2 linked regions of the Ovis aries genome follow. The protein of the gene in region 1 binds, or shares a complex with, the protein of each later gene. Links are inferred from orthologs where the notes say so. Each region holds a gene or a part of one and is shown on either strand. Other genes may lie near its edges.

Region 1 (4,022 bases):
CACTCCTCATTTACTATCAAATGTAGTGGGCACATGCATAATATTATTACATGAACTCTGTAACTCTTTGTGTATTTTTGGCTGAATTTATCCCCTTTTCACAAACTTTAGTCTTGGATGTCTTTGAGATAGACATATTTAGCTTATACTTATATTTTTTTGTACTTATCTTGAAAATTCTAGTCAATCTACAGTGATTCTTCTTTCTTTCTGACATGTCTAATGCTCCGCAGGGAGTTATCTTTTCACATATTTTAGGATTCTTTGTTCTTTTTAATCCTAGACTGCAGGGCTATACAAAGAGCTGTAGAGCAACTGAAGAAGCCTCTCAGACTCAAAACTTCAAGTTCTCCTTCAAGTGACAGTAAGATGTATCTGTTTCACTCAAGCACTCAAGTATGATGGAGCAGGAACAGAGTGGGTTTCCTCCTGGCATCCCCTTTCTCTGTAACAATGTTTTATTATAAAACAACGGCCTCTGTAGCAAAGATCTCCTAGAAATTTTAATTATAGTTTAGAGTACAGCTGTTCTTTCTTTTCTCTTGGTTACTATAATCTTCTTTCTAATGGAGAGTAGCCCTGCAATTACTAATGATTTGGAAGAACAATTTGCTTGTAAAATACTACTTCTGTAGCCTGTACTCATCACTGATAGAAGCCCAGTGGAAGGCAATAAGCAATTGTGGAAAGCAAGGTCACCAAGCTAGAGACACTAATTGTAGGTGAAAAGAGCTTTATAATATGTATTTGGAGGCTTAAAAGATGGTTTTCAGTTCTGTAGCACAGATGAGGATAAATGTGGTGACATTCCCAAGTCAGAGAGAGAGAGAGAAAGGAAACAGGTATTTGAAAGATTCATGCTACTGCAGATATTGTCTTTACAGTTCACAATAAATAAAGAGCATGTTTCAAAACTAAAGTCAAGATTTAAAAAAAAAGTTCTTCATCCTTTCTATGCCTCTAAGCAGAGTGACTTGCATCCTTTCTTTATACACAGGAATGTCTCATCTTCGTATTCACTCTCAAATGTGCAGCTGAAAACCATGAAGTCTCCCAGAAAGGGAAATTTCTCAAAGGGTATCCAGACAATGGTAGGATTTCTGTTTTTTACTTGTTTCCTTTGTTATGAAAGGCCAAAATACAAATCACTTCACTTTCTAGAAAATTAGCATATATGCAGATATTTAGGTATTTATTATTGGAAGCTGACTTCAATAGGCCCACAAAAGAACAATAAAAAGAAAGTTCTAGTTCCCATGGTGGGAGATAAAAAGCAAAACAATTTTTGGAAACCTCCAGCACCCATACTGTAGGAGACAAATACTAGATGGTTTAGGTACCAAAGTGACTGGCATTCTAAACAAATGAGGTGGCATGTCAGTACTACAAGGCTCACATGTGGATACCTAAACAGTATACTGGATTTGCTTCATAAACCATAACACCATTCTGATGAGTCACAGGAAATCCTGAATTCTCTTCAGGGCATTGAGTGGGCATGAATTTTATCTAAAGAAATATTTGCAAGGGCAAAACAAAGTGCTCCAAACTGGTGCAGGCAATCAGGCAAAAGGCCAGGCAGTTGGACTAGTTTCCTTCCCAGGAGACACTGACTTTGTCTCTTGCAGGGACACCCCATTATCTCCATCCGAAGGGCCTTCTGCAGGGATTTGGGGCGCAGGGGAGGGTCACTCTTAAACCTTCAAGTCACCTCTGGTCTCTTGGATTCGTCCTGTGCGAACCTCGCAGTCCCACAGCAAAATGTCTCCCAGGAACTCTCAGTTCGAAGAGGCAGCCCCCTGAACCTCTCCGGAGCCGGGACGGAATGGGGTCCCCACTACCCCGCTGGCGTTCCTCCGCGCGTCCCGGTGACCAGCCCGACCCTCCCTCCGGCTGCGGCCACTGTAGCGCCGGGACCCCGCGCTCACCGGATGATCACGAACATGACCAGCGAGTTGCCCACCAAGCCCACGACGAACACCACGGAGTAGACGGCCGTGATGACGACCAGGATGACCGGGGAGATGTGAGCCGGCTCCAGCAGCACGTCCTCCGAGCCCGCGCTGCCGTTACCGTCCGGCTCTGCCCAGCCCGGGAACCAGCCGCTGCCGTTGGGGGGCAGGCAGGTGCTCGGGGAGCAGGTGGGGCCCGGCTCACCGCGGAAGATCTGGACTGGGGGCTCCATGTCCGGCGGCTGCGGCAGCGGGACAAGGACAGGCGGCACCTGCGGGGGCAAGAGAACCGACTGGACCCGGGAAGCGAACTTTGGCCGCGTCCGAACCAGCACGCGAGCGCGGCGGTGCAGGGGCCTGCGACCCGCTGATACCCACCCTGGCCGGAAGACCCCGGGGAGGCACAGGGGCACGGACCTCTCTCTGGGTGCCACCCCGGCCAGCAGACGCGCCGCAGGTACCAGGAGGGGCGGAGAGCGCGCCGTCCTTTCCCCTGGTGCCTGAAATCCCCCACCCTTTCCTAGGCACAGCTCCCGGGAGGAACTGTCCCCAGTCTGCGGCCCGGAGACCCCAGGGACAAGAGACCCCTGGAGCGCAGAGCCCTCGCTGCCAAGGACTTCGAAATCCCAAGGCTCACCTCCGGCTCGGGAGATGCACGCAGAGGAACAGCGACGCTGGACCGCGCGGAACCCAGCGTTCCCGAATCCCACTCAGCCGGCGGGTTGCCGGGCATCCGCAACCCCGCGGCGCTGGCTCCCAGACCCGGACCCCGCGCTCTGGCCGCCCCCCAACCCCCGAGCGCGTCCCCGCCACTCCGCGCGCGGTTCCCACGACCCGCAGCGGCAGAACACGGCTGGACGCCGCGAGTGCGCGCGGGCCCCAGACATCCCTCCCCTCCCGACCCCGCCCCTGCCGCCCCGCCTACCCGCCTGCGCGCCCCCCGCCCCGCGCCCGCCGGCTCACCCGGAGCACAGCCTCCATCCATGGACCCCGGCCTCCCCGGCGCCTGACTGAACATCTGGGCGATTCAGACTTAGGGTCAAGAAGGGTGCGCCTGTCCAGTGCAAGTGGACATCGGGGTTACTCACAATGTGTCTAGAACTGCTGCCGGCCTCGTTCTCAGAACACATCTGCTTTCCGATGAGGAGGAAAATGGTAATTTCATGTGAGTGACCAGTCCAAATACGGTAGCAAAATGATCCAATTAGAATAAGACCAGACCACACGGTTTTAGTGGTTGATTTTGACCACCCAATGCTAAGAGCCGACTCACTGGAAAAGACTCTGATGCTAGGAAAGATTGAGGGCAGGAGGAGAAGAAAATGACAGAAGATGAGATGGTTGGATGGCATCACTGACTCACGGACTTGAGTTTGAGCAAACTCCGGGAGATAGTGAGGGACAAGGAAGCCTGGCGTGCTGCAGTTCATGGAGTGGCAAAGAGTCGGACACCACTGAGCGACTGAACAACAGCAAATACATAAATAGAATATTCTGTCCCTTTCATTCTGCTGGATGCACGGGATGCACCCTGCGGTACCACCTATGTGCCTTGCTGTCACCTGCCGAAGAGAAGACACGCCCCTCCTCAGGCCAGGCCACAGTGTGGGTGCAGGTCCGAGATAGGGTCCTTTCTCCCACGTTAACCTCCAATGCCATCACATTCCCTCATGAAGGCAGCTTTTCTCTAACACCTCCAAGAGCCTGAGCCCCCAAAAGAAATCCCATCCTCGTTCCTCTGCATGACTCTGCCAGTGCCAGGAGCAGACTCTGCTGGTAAGAGAGGCCCTGAGCACAGTGACTGGAGGGTAAGAAAGCAGGACTCAGGAGCTGTGATGAGACCCTGAGGGAGACTGGGGAAGTCCGCCTCTCCCAGCTGGTGTTGGAAATCAGGTGCCAGGAGACCAAGTTAGCCAAGTGTCCTGAGTGGACTCCTGTCTAAGACTGACTGACCTCTTGAGACAAACAGAGCCCACTGCGGCTGCCCTGGCTCCCATCTGCACCCACACCTGGACAACTCATGGCCCAGACAGTCATCCCACCCATCGATGGGCAGCAGAAGGGAGCTCC
Region 2 (3,855 bases), on another chromosome or scaffold:
AGCTCGTGCCTTCATGGAACCAAATTTTAAAGACTCACATGGGTAGTTACCGAGAAGTGGACTAGTTTAGAGGAGGAGGCACAAATCTCTGGAAAAACACAAGGAGGAACATCCCTTCCACCTAAGAGATCAGAGAAAGCTGCCCGGAGGAGGTGACATCTACTCTAGGACCAAAATGACAGAAAACAGAAGAGGAGAGGAGGGTTTTCTAGGAAGAGGATTTTCTAGGAGGATTCTCTGGCCCCAGCATGTGCAAAGGGCCAGAGGTGGGACAGGTGCCACTCCATTCATTAGGGGGTTTGCTAGTAGCTGAATATGGTCAGAATACAGAGTTGAAGAGCTGGCTACAGGGTTAGAATTGAGGGTGTCTCTGAAAATGAGTACTTCCCTGGTGGCTCAGACGGTAAAGCGTCTGCCTACAATGTGGGAGACCTGGGTTCAACCCCTGGGTTGGGAAGATCTCCTGGAGAAGGAAATGGCAATCCATTCCAGTATTCCCTGGAAAATCCCATGGATGGAGGAGACTGGTAGGCTACAGTCCTTGGGGTCACAAAGAGTCAGACACGACTAAATGACTTCACTTTTCTGACATTTAGGAGAAGGGCCCAGCCTGACCCAATCCAATGGTTCTGATCCCAGACCTGATATACCGAGAAGGGCATTTCAAGGTGGGCAGGAGGGATCAGCAAAGGAGTGGAGGCAGGGGGGGCCAGCACGATCGGTGAAGGTGGAGCCATGGCTGGGGCAAGGAGGAGTGCTGGCATGGGGAATGTCCACAGCAGAAAGGACTGGGCTGGGGCCAGCCTGGGGAACAGGGGACACAGGCAGGGGGTAGAAGCTTCAGAGAATGCAGAGAAACAGATAACCACATCTTCTGGCTTGGTGAGTGGTCAGAGTGGGTTTGATTTTTGTCCGCTTCCTAGCTGTGTAAGCAATCACTTGCCCTCTCTGAGCCTCCACTTTCCTATCTAACGGTACAATCCACATTAGGAACTATTGGGCAGATTGAATGTGAGCATATAGGAAAGCTCCCAGTACACTGCTGGCGTTCAGCATGTTAGTTCCCTTCCTTGACCGCTGGCCTTGGGCACCCACTGCTCCTCCATAGGCCTGTTTTCTTGGCTGTAGAATGGGAACAAGAACGGTTGCCTTGCAGTGCAGTGCTGCCAGCAAGAGTTGGCTTTGCAGGCTAAGGACACACTGCACAGAGTAGGCGATCACAGATTTCCTTTCCTCTTTCTCCCTCTCCAGCAGGAAGAGCCAAGACAGAATGGCGTGGCAAGGGCTGGTCCTGGCTGCTTGTCTGCTCGCACTCCCCTCCGTCACAGCGGACTGCCTGGCCCAGTGCTCCTTGTGTGCTGTGAAGACCCAGGATGGGCCCCAACCCATCAACCCCCTGGTGAGTTTCAGGCAAGGCTCCTCAGTGCCAGAGTGCATGGAAGGGGCAGTCTGTGTGTGGAGCCCAGAGAGGGAAGGTAGCAGGCCTGGGCAGCTGTGAGCCTGTTCTGTAGACTCCTCCCAGACTGTGCAGAGCACGTCCTGCCCTGTGGTAGGTCTGGGCAGCTAGGGATGGCTGTTTTCCAGACTCCTGTTCCCTCCCCAGACCTTACCGCCATAGGCTCACTCAGGTCTGGGACGAAAGCTCAGATTTCCAGGGAGCCTGTTGCCTGATAGCAAGGAATGTCATTTATGAGGTGGTGTTGACTTTGGGTATTGGCAACCCAAGATGAACTTTTCAGGGCTTCTTACAACCAGGCTGATGGGCACTCCCAAATATAGTCAATTTCATGGAAGGAGCTCTTTGCACCACCACTTGGCTGGCCTTGCTGGCTATACTTTGAATCAAGCTCCTCCCTGTGCCTCTCCCACGACAGCAGACAGCTGTAATAAAGGTTCAAGGGTGTGGTGGACAGAACATGGGCTTTGGTTCTGCCAATTTCTAGTTCCGTGACCCTGGAACCCCCTCTCTGATCCTCAGTTTCCTTGCATGCAAAATGGGAGTGATTCCATGAGCTGATGATGCAAAGTATTAACGCTGGCCACTCTCCGCTGAGAGGCACACAGCACACCACGTGCTGCCCATGTATTGGTTTGATCTCAGAAGTGCCCAGTGCTTAGGTATGATGACTCATGGCATTAGAACGTGGGTGCAAGTTCTAGTACTGTCTAGTATTGTCATTGTTGTCACTGTCATTATCAACACCATCGTCATCATGTTTGACTCCTCCCTGCTTTTATGAAGTATATACTGTCATCCCAGGGTTAGTGAACCCTTAACTCCTCACACGTGTTCTTTCCACCATTCTGCATTGCTTCTTTTCTCTGTGTAAAGTGTGTGCAGCATTCTTTATACCCAGGAAAGGTTGGGGGAGCCAACTAGTCCCTCTGGAGTCAGAAGCAGAAGATTATGGGTGAGCCCAGGAGAGCACTATGGCAAGATTTTCCTTCCAACTTTGACAGTGTCATCTGTAGCCATGGGCCCTTGAAAAAGCTGTTTCATCTTTCCTCGTCCTCCACATGGGCATAAAGTCACTTACCTTTAGGCACCATTGGGAGCATGAAAGTGGGTAGCCTGGGACTTAGTAATGGTTTTTTAATTTTCTCAGACACTGGACTGGGGACTGTCTGGGGCAGGAGGTTGTGGCTTGACAGTTTGATGGAGGTGGCATTACCACTGTGGTCTTCTGGGGTCTCTTGCAGGTTTGCTCCCTGGAATGCCAGGCCGCCCTGCAGCCTGCTCAGGAGTGGGAGAGGTGCCAGGGCCTTCTGTCTTTCCTCACTCCCTTCACCGTTGGGCTCAATGGCAAGGAAGACTTGAAGAGCAAGGCAGTTTTGGAAGAGTCTAGCAGTGAGCCGGCCAAGCACATCAGGCCCTACTTGAAGGAACTAGAGAAAAACAGATTCCTTCTCAGCACCCCAGCAGAGGAGAACACTCTGAGCAGCAGCCTGGCGGAGAAGCTCAGGGGTCTCTCTGGCAGGTTGGGGGAGGATGCAGAGTATGAGTTGATGGGGGATGCTCAGCTGAACGATGGTGCCCTGGAGGCTGAAGCGAGGGATTCCAATGAGGAGGAACCCAAGGAGCAGGTCAAACGTTATGGGGGCTTTTTGCGCAAATACCCCAAGAGGAGCTCAGAGGTGACTGGGAAGGGGGCTGGGGAAGGGGAGGGGGGTGAGATGGGCCATGAGGACCTGTACAAGCGCTACGGGGGATTCTTACGGCGCATCCGTCCCAAGCTCAAGTGGGACAACCAGAAGCGCTATGGTGGCTTCCTCCGGCGTCAGTTCAAGGTGGTCACTCGGTCTCAGGAAGACCCCAGTGCCTATTACGAAGAGCTTTTTGATGTGTAAACACCTCCCCATCATGGAGTTGAGTCAGGAGCTTCCCATAATGCCCTGGAGATTGGAGTGAACTCATTCATCCGCCCTTGTGGTCCCCATCCCCATGCTCAGTTAAGCATTGTCTACAAGACTTCTAAACCTAGTCTGCCTCTCTTCTGCCCAGATACAGTGTTTGTCCAGGTCAGTGAGGAAGGAGGAGAAAGGTTTCCCTCTCCAGTAGGCTTAGTGCTTGGCTTCAGCCCTACGTCTCTAAAACTACCACCACCAGCAGCTTTGCTATCAATTCCCTTTATATGACTCCCCAATCCCAGGAATCCAGACTGACCTCTTGATCCCTCTGGATCTATGATCAAGTATTCTGATCAATGCCCTTCAAAAGAAAAATGAACATTCCCCTCCCATGCAGATAAATAGATATATCAATATCTATCTATACAGATAGATAGCATAAAACATATAAAAGGTAGAAATTTATAAATTTTTTTAAAAGGTAGAAATTTAAAACAAAATAGATAT

What was found. Proteins that work in one complex are often made in the same cells at the same time.
Region 2: the proteins of OPRK1 (region 1) and PDYN are in contact, whole or in part, in a cryo-EM structure (PDB 8F7W), measured with the Homo sapiens proteins. The link is inferred for Ovis aries from reciprocal best matches to the Homo sapiens genes OPRK1 and PDYN. Residues at the interface, in NP_000903.2 of Homo sapiens: Thr111, Gln115, Trp124, Val134, Ile135, Asp138, Tyr139, Met142, Lys200, Glu209, Cys210, Asp216, Tyr219, Lys227, Val230, Phe293, Ile294, Glu297, His304, Ala308, Leu309, Tyr312, Tyr313, Ile316, Tyr320; in NP_001177821.1 of Homo sapiens: Tyr207, Gly208, Gly209, Phe210, Leu211, Arg212, Arg213, Ile214.

Annotation. Positions count from the first base shown.
Region 1 is NC_056062.1:34,733,142-34,737,163, forward strand, and holds the start of OPRK1 (kappa-type opioid receptor), read right to left. Parts: upstream 2,804-4,022; 5' UTR 2,686-2,803; coding exon 2,590-2,685; intron 2,225-2,589; coding exon 1,929-2,224; intron 1-1,928. UniProt on the Homo sapiens protein: G-protein coupled opioid receptor that functions as a receptor for endogenous alpha-neoendorphins and dynorphins, but has low affinity for beta-endorphins.
Region 2 is NC_056066.1:52,860,985-52,864,839, forward strand, and holds PDYN (proenkephalin-B precursor), read left to right. Parts: upstream 1-1,270; coding exon 1,271-1,399; intron 1,400-2,700; coding exon 2,701-3,348; downstream 3,349-3,855.